2 linked regions of the Anolis sagrei genome follow. The protein of the gene in region 2 interacts with the protein of the main gene of each other region in a pairwise test. Links are inferred from orthologs where the notes say so. Each region holds a gene or a part of one and is shown on either strand. Other genes may lie near its edges. The genes, in order: PDLIM5 and COIL.

Region 1 (3,919 bases), on a different chromosome or scaffold from region 2:
AAAACAGTGGTTCCCAACTTCCTAATACCACAACTCCTTAATACAGTTCCTCATGTTATGGTGACTCCCAACCATAAAATTATTTTAGTTGCTACTTCATAACTGTCATTTTGCTACTGTTATCAATAGTAATGGAAATATCTGCTGTGCAGGATGTATTTTCATTCACTGGACCAAATTTGGCACAAATTCCCAATATGCCCATATTGGGGTTGGGGGATTGATGTTGTCATTTGGGAGTTGTAGTTGCTGGGATTTAAAGTCAACCTACAATCAAAAAGTATTCTGAACTCCACCAATGATGGAACTGAACCAAACTTAGCACACAGGACTCCCATGACTAACAGAAAATACTGAAATACCTGACCCCCAGGTTGAGAAATGCTGTAATAAAACAAAGCTGCACTTATTTTCTCTTTCTCAGTTCCTTAAATAATAAAAAGGGAAAGGGAAGGGACTCAGGTCGGCTCTAGGATGAGACTGTTTGTGCCTTTCCTCTTTAAAAGACTTTCTTGCTTTTAGGAGAAAGTGAAGTGTTGATGTGTGTGTATAAAATCAGAGAAGAAATGAATTCCAAACAGAACTCAAAAGAGGGTTAACTCAAGGTGGAAAATGAGAACACAGTGCTGTAGGGTTATTTCTTTCGACCCCTCCTTAAGTAAAGGTTAGAGCCAGCAAAAGCCAAACACTTTGATTACATGCAAAGGGGTCTTATAACCCCTTGGAGACTAAATGTGCATCCACACTGTGGAATGAATGCAGTCTGGCATCACTATAGCTGTCATGGCTCAGGGCTATATGCTCCTGGGAGTTGGGAGAGGGATCTGCTATAGACCTTGAAAAACTTTATAAAACTATGGTACAGCACCATGATTCCAGCATAATGAGCCATGGAAGTCAAACTGAATTCACTTGACTGTGTAGATCAGGCATGTGCAAACTTTGGCCCTCCAAATGTTTTGGACTTCAACTCCCACAATTCCTAACAGCCTCAGGACCCTTCCTTTTCTCCCTCAGCCACTTAAGCAGCTATACCCATGCCTGGTGTAAATGCACCCTGAGAGAAAGAAGATGATACAAGCGGAACAACCCTGTCTGAGAAGTTTGGCCCAATTCAAGTTCCAAAATCCAAAATACTCTAAAATCCACAATTGTCCACGTGATGCCTGCGAAAGCAACAACTTTGCTTTCTGGTGGTTCAATGCAAACAAACTTTGATTCATGCATAATTGCGTTTAAAAATATTGTGTGTAAAATGGCCTGCAGGCTACGTATATTAGGCATATATGAAATATAAATAAATGTTGTGTTTAGCTTTGGATCCCGTACTCCAACGAAAGCATTCCAATATCCAAAAATAAAACTCCAAAATTCAAAACACTCCCAGTCCCAAACATTTTAGATAAGGGATGTTGAACCTGCAGCAGAAGTTTTCCGCTAACTTTCCTCTCCAAAAACTTCTGCTATTAATTTCTTTCTCTGGTGGTGCATATGCTACACAGTAGAATGAATGCAGTTTGACAACCACTTGAGTTGCCCTGGCTCAATGCTACGGAACCCTGGGGATTTGAAGTTAGACATAGCACAGGCATGGACAAACTTCGGCCCTCCTGGTATTTAGAACTCCAACTCCCACAGTTTCTAACTGCTGGGTGTTATGAATTGTGGGAGTTGGAGTCCAAAACACCTGAAGAGCTGAAGTTTGCCCATGCCTGGCTGTAGCACAAACACTCTTTGGCAGAGGAAGCTAAAGACCTTGTAGAACAGTGTATCTCAACCTGAGGGTTGGGACCCCGGGGGGGGGGGGGGGTCACAAGGGTGTCACCAAAGACCATCAGAAAAAAATATTTTCTGTTGGTCATGGGGGTTCTGTGTGAGAAGTTTGGCCCAATTCAATCGTTGGTGAGGTTCAGCATGCTCTTTGATTGTATTCATCCCACCCAAATGTTAAGGTTTATTTTCCTCAAACTCCACCAGTGTTCACATTTGGGCACATTGAGTATTCGTGCCAAGTTTGGTCCAGATCAATCATGGTTTGAGTCCACAGTGCTCTCTGGATGTAGGTGAACTACAACTCCAAAATTCAAGGTGTGCCAAGATTGGTTCAATTCCATCCTTGGTGGAGTTCAGAATGCTTTTTGAGTGTGAGTTAACTATAAATCCCTGCAAATAAACTCCCAAGTGACAAAATCAATCCCCACCCCAACCCCACCAGCATTCAAATTTGGGGTATTGGGTATTTATGCCAAATTTGGCCCAGTGAATGAAAATACATCCTGCATATCAGATATTTACATTACGATTCATAAACAGTAGCAAAATGACAGTTATGAAGTAGCAATGAAAATATTCTTATGGTTGGGGGTCACCACAGCAGGAGGAACTGTATGAAGGGGTTGAGGCATTAGGAAGGTTGAGAAACACTGGCGTAGAACTATAGCTTCCACGGCCCCTTTGCCTTGAGCCACGGCAGTTAAGGAGGTCTGGAACTGGATTAGTTTTACAGTGCAGAGGCCCCCTCAGATCTTTGCAGGCTGCTCTCCCAGACTGTGGCTTTGATGACCCCTCGGAAGACGCTCTGCCTCTTACTTAACCTGCCAGCCCAGGACAGCAAAACGCCGGAGGAAAGTTTCCGAGGCGCCTCTTCTTCTGTCGGGAGCCCTTCTCCGCCTCCGCTCCAGCCTTTAGCCCAGAAGGAGGTTCGCTTTGACGGCCCGCGAAGCCCCTCTTTCTTTCCCTGCCAAGCCCCTTCCTTCCTCCCTCCCTTCCCTGCCTCCTCCCGCTTTGCCTGCTTACCGTCTCGGCACAGGACGCGGCTCCTTTTGCGCCTCAGAGCGCAAACTCCAAGCACACAGGGACTGGCCTTGGGCTCTTGTTTGCGCTTCCGCCCCTTTGCCTGGGCTCCTCCCCTGGGCAGCCAAGGAGGGAAGGGGAGGGAAGGGGAGGGAAGAGAGAAGAGAGAGAGAGAGAGAGAAGGGGAGACAGAGGGGAACCTTCCAGATGCGCCTTTGGAAGAAGCCAAGGCTCAGCAAGCATTCCCTGCCTTGCAAGACTATCCACACTGCAGAATAGGAGAACACTTTGATACCGCTTTAACTGTCAAATGCTTTTCTTTAAGGAAGTGAGAAAGAGGAAATGAGCAGACAGAATTAGAACTGATTATGGCAGGGATGGGCAACCTTTTGAGCTTGGTGTGTCAAAGTTCGCCAAAAAACTAAGCAAAACTAAGCATTCTCTTCCAGAGGAAAAAAAACAACCAATAATTTCACAATTTTTATAGTTTAAATAACAAAAATGGATAATTGTAATATATAACGGTCAGACCCGTAGCCAGGATTTCAATTCGGGGGGGGGGGGGGGCTGAGTTTTTTTCAGAGGGGGTTTCAGGGAGGGGGGCTGAGTCTGAGTGAAAGAGGGTCTAGCCTAGCAAACCTTTTGTATCATTACCCCAATACCACCATGCATATGGGATATATTGAGTATGCTGATCAGATCATGATATGAATAAACATAACAGTTTAAATAATGCACCAGTAAGGCCTTTTCGATAGCTGGGTCCAGAAGCATCGCACGTTATGAAGATGCCGCATCTCTCATAGAATCAAAGAGTTGGAAGAGACCTCATGGGCCATCCAGACCAACCCCCTGCCAAGAAGCAGGAATATTGCATTCAAATCACCCCTGACAGATGGCCATCCAGCCTCTGTTTAAAAGCTTCCAAAGAAGGAGCCTCCACCACACTCCGGGGCAGAGAGTTCCACTGCTGAACGGCTCTCACAGTCAGGAAGTTCTTCCTCATGTTCAGATGGAATCTCCTCTCTTGTAGTTTGAAGCCATTGTTCCTTGTCCTAATCTCCATGGAAGCAGAAAACAAGCTTGCTCCCTCCTCCCTGTGGCTTCCTCTCACATATTTATACAC
Region 2 (3,919 bases):
AGATATTGTGGGATTTTCTGCCTTGATATTCTGGAATACAGGGCTGTGTGGAAGGGGCCCAAATGCTGTTGGCTGTAGTTTAGAGAGGGAACTAGCAAATCCACTTCTGAAGCACCATCAACACTGCCATATAAAATCCAGATTAGCTGTGGAATTATGTTAGTCTATGTTGGGCCAGAGGTTTAGCACAGCTGGTAAATCATCAGCAGTTATAAGATCTATCAACCAAAAGGTTGCAAGTTTGAAGCCCTGGGTTGGAGTGAGCTGCCAACTGTCAGCCTAGCTCATTGTTTACCTAAGCAATTCAATTTAGGTACCACTAAATAGGATGGCTCTTCATCATATGAGGGTAGAGCAACAGATCCCCCTGGACTCCAGCCCAACCTTCCATGGCACCTCCTTCTGTTCTGTGTATCATCTATACAAAGTGGCATTGAATGTTTGCCGTGTATGTGTACTGTGATCCACCCTGAGTCCCCTTCGGGGTGAGAAGGGTGGAATATAAGTAAAGTGTTGTTGTTGTTGTTGTTGTTATTAGTCTACACTGCCATATAATCCAGTTCATTGTGGCATTTTAAATGGCAATGTAGATGGGGCCTGAGGGCCCTTCCAGACTGGCCCTATATACTAGGATCTGATCCCAGGTTTTCAGTTTATCCCAGGGCCCTTCCACACAGCCTTATATCCCAGAATATCAAGGCAGAAAATCCTACAATATTTTTGGAACTGGGTTATCTGAGTCCACAGGCAGATAATGTGGGATTTTCTGACTTGATATTCTGGGATATAGGGCTGTGTGGAAGGGCCCTCAGACTATCTGGCAGTGTGGACACATACAATCCAGTTTAAAGCACAAAATGTGGGATCAGATCCTGGGATTTAAGGCCAGTCTGGAAGCCCACATTATCTGCTTTGAAGTGGGATATATGGCAGTGTGGACTCAGATAACCCAGTTCAAAGCAGATATTGTGGGTTATTTGGCTCTGATATTCTGGGTTATATGACTGTGTGGAAGGACTTTGAATCTTCCTTGCCAATGAAAACCTATGACCCATAAAATCGACAAAGGATTTAGAGGCACAACCATATTTCTATTGATATTAATCTTTTTTTCCTCTCCAGTGAAAGGATTGAGCGCCGCTGCCGAAAGAGGGCGCTGGCGGGCAAGAGGCTGGTGTCCCTTCTTCGGTCTCGCGCGCTTTCTCTTCCTTTGACCCTCGCGGCGTGCCGTAGCGAGGGTCCTTTCGCTCCCCAAGATGGCGGCGGCCTGCGAGGCGCCGGTGCGGCTGCGGCTGCTGTTCGACTACCCACCCCCGGGGAGCCCGGCCTGCGGGCTGTGCTGGCTCCTGCTGGAGCCTAGCCAAGTGCGCCTCGTCACCGACCTCATCAGCCTCATCCGGGACAAGTTCGGCTTCAGCCGCCGCGCCAAGCTCAGCCTCTTCCTGGACGGGGCGCTCCTCCCGCCCACCGAGAGCGCGCGCCTCGTGCGGGACAACGACTCCCTCCGGTAGGGACCCGGGCAGCACCCCCCCCCCCCGCCCCAGAAGGGATGCCGCGCCCCGGGAATTGCCTTCCACGTCCAGCGGCCCCAGGAGACCCACGCAGTTCCACAACAACTTGGGAGGCGGGGGGGGGGGGGGTCATGTCATTCCCAATTCAGTGTCTAGATAAGACTTAACACTGGGGTAGAATTAATGCACTTTGACTCCACTGTAGTTGTCCATGGCTGAATGCTATGGAATAATTAAAATTGTAGTTTTACAAGGTCTTTAGTCCACTTTGCCTAAGACGGCTGGTGCCTCGCCAAACTACACATCCCAGGACTCCACAGCATTGAGCCCACGCAGTTTAAGTGGGACCAGACTGCATTCATTCCACAGTGTAAATGCACCCACAGACTGGTCGCCACAAGTGAGAAAGGACTTGAAGGCACACAACTGCAACAACAACAAGAGGCAGGTAAGTTCTTGTGGGTTTTTTCGGGCTATAGGGCCATGTTCTAGAGGCATTTCTCCTGACGTTTCGCCTGCATCTATGGCAAGCATCCTCAGAGGTAGTGAGGTCTGTTGGAAATAGGAAAAGGGTTTATATATCTGTGGAATGACCAGGGTGGGACAAAGGACTTTTGTCAGTTGGGCTAAGTGTGAATATTTCAACTGACCACCTTGATTAGCATACAATGGGCTGACTGTGTATGCTTACCAAGGTGGTCAGTTGAAACATTCACGCCTAGCCCAACTGACAAAAGTCCTTTGTCCCACCCTGGTCATTCCACAGATATATAAACCCTTTTCCCAGTTCCAACAGACCTCACTACCTCTGAGGATGCTTGCCATAGATGCAGGCGAAATGTCAGGAGAAATGCCTCTAGAACATGGCCATATAGCCCGAAAAAACCCACAAGAACTTAGTGATTCCAGCCATGAAAGCCTTCGACAATACAAAGAGGCAGGTAGTTGTGGTGCTCCGCTTACAGATGATGAGGCTCGCTCCTTATTTGTATAACACTGTCAGATACACATTAGGCCAGGCGTCCTCAAACTGAGGCCCGGGGGCCGGATGCGGCCCTCCAAGGTCATTTACCCAGCCCTTACTCAGGGTCAACCTAAGTCTGAAACGACTTGAAAGCACACAATAACAACAACAATCCTATCTCATCAGCCAAAATCAGACCCACACTTTACACTGAAATACTAATAAGTTTATATTAGTTAAAATTGTTCTTAATTTTAATTATTGTATTGGTTTTTTTGTTTGTTTTTTTACAAAATTGCACTATAAATAAGATATGTGCAGTGTGCATAGGAATTCATTCATTTTCTCCCCGAATTATAATCAGGCCCGCCAACAGTTTGAGGGACTGTGACCTGGCCCTTTGTTTAAAAAGTTTGTGGACCCCTGCATTAGGCCTTGCAATAAAACAAGTGAAAGCAACAAGTCCTACAATGTATCTGTGCACAATCATAAGGCCCCTTCAGCTATATAAAATCCACATCGAACTGTATTATCTGGCAGTGTGGATTCAGGACCATTCCACACAGCTGAATAAAATCCCACATTTTCTGCTCTGAAGTGGAATATATAGCAGTGTGGACTCAATCCAGTTCAAAGCAGATATTGTAGGATATCTGCCACAATATTCTGGGTTATATGTGGCAAATTTTGGCCGTCCAGGCGTTTTGGACTTCAACTCCCAGAAACCCCTGCCAGTTTACCATGGGAATTGAAATCCAAATCAGCTGGAGGGCCAAAACTTGCCCATGCTGGTCTAATATATACCTGGAACAACAAATTACAAAACTGTACAATTGCCGAACAAATTACGTGGATAAAATGCCAATAAAAAACAAGACACAATGTGATACGAAGCACACAAAGAATCAAAACAGATAAGACTGCAAAACAACATTAAACTAAACCTCAAAGGTTTGGGCAAATAAAAAATAATCAATTGAGATTTAAAAACTTAGAGGGGAGGAGCTGTTAATGTTGTGTGCCTTCACGTCATTTCTGATTAATTGTGGGCCTATAAAAAGTTTTTATTGCAAGTTTTTTTTCTGAGATTGAAAGAGTGGGAGTTGTCTGAGGTCACCCTTAGGATTTCTAAGGCTAGGTGGGGAATCAAGCTTTGGCCTCACAGAGCTGTAGCCCAATGCTCAAATTACTAAACCACACTGGCTTTCACGGTGGGACAACATCTCCCCTAATTCTGTACCTATATTGGCTAGGACTGATGGGGATTGTAAGCCGATAAGTATGGAGGACCAACAGTTCCCTCCCTTTGTCAACAGTTCCTTGGTATAAAGTCACCAGTAAGCAACTTGGTTTGTTTCCACATAACGAAAAATAACATCATAGCAAAGACATAGTGATAGGCTTGGTTGCTTTTTCTCTACTCCTTTGGGAGCCCTGATTCACA

What was found.
Region 1: the proteins of COIL (region 2) and PDLIM5 interact in binary tests that used the Homo sapiens proteins (3 or more experiments, as listed by UniProt). The two-hybrid records come from large-scale screens. The link is inferred for Anolis sagrei from reciprocal best matches to the Homo sapiens genes COIL and PDLIM5.

Annotation. Positions count from the first base shown.
Region 1 is NC_090025.1:23,614,031-23,617,949, reverse strand, and holds the start of PDLIM5 (PDZ and LIM domain protein 5), read right to left. Parts: upstream 2,902-3,919; 5' UTR 2,797-2,901; intron 1-2,796. UniProt on the Homo sapiens protein: May play an important role in the heart development by scaffolding PKC to the Z-disk region. May play a role in the regulation of cardiomyocyte expansion. Isoforms lacking the LIM domains may negatively modulate the scaffolding activity of isoform 1.
Region 2 is NC_090022.1:144,152,358-144,156,276, reverse strand, and holds the start of COIL (coilin), read left to right. Parts: upstream 1-1,245; 5' UTR 1,246-1,256; coding exon 1,257-1,507; intron 1,508-3,919. UniProt on the Homo sapiens protein: Component of nuclear coiled bodies, also known as Cajal bodies or CBs, which are involved in the modification and assembly of nucleoplasmic snRNPs.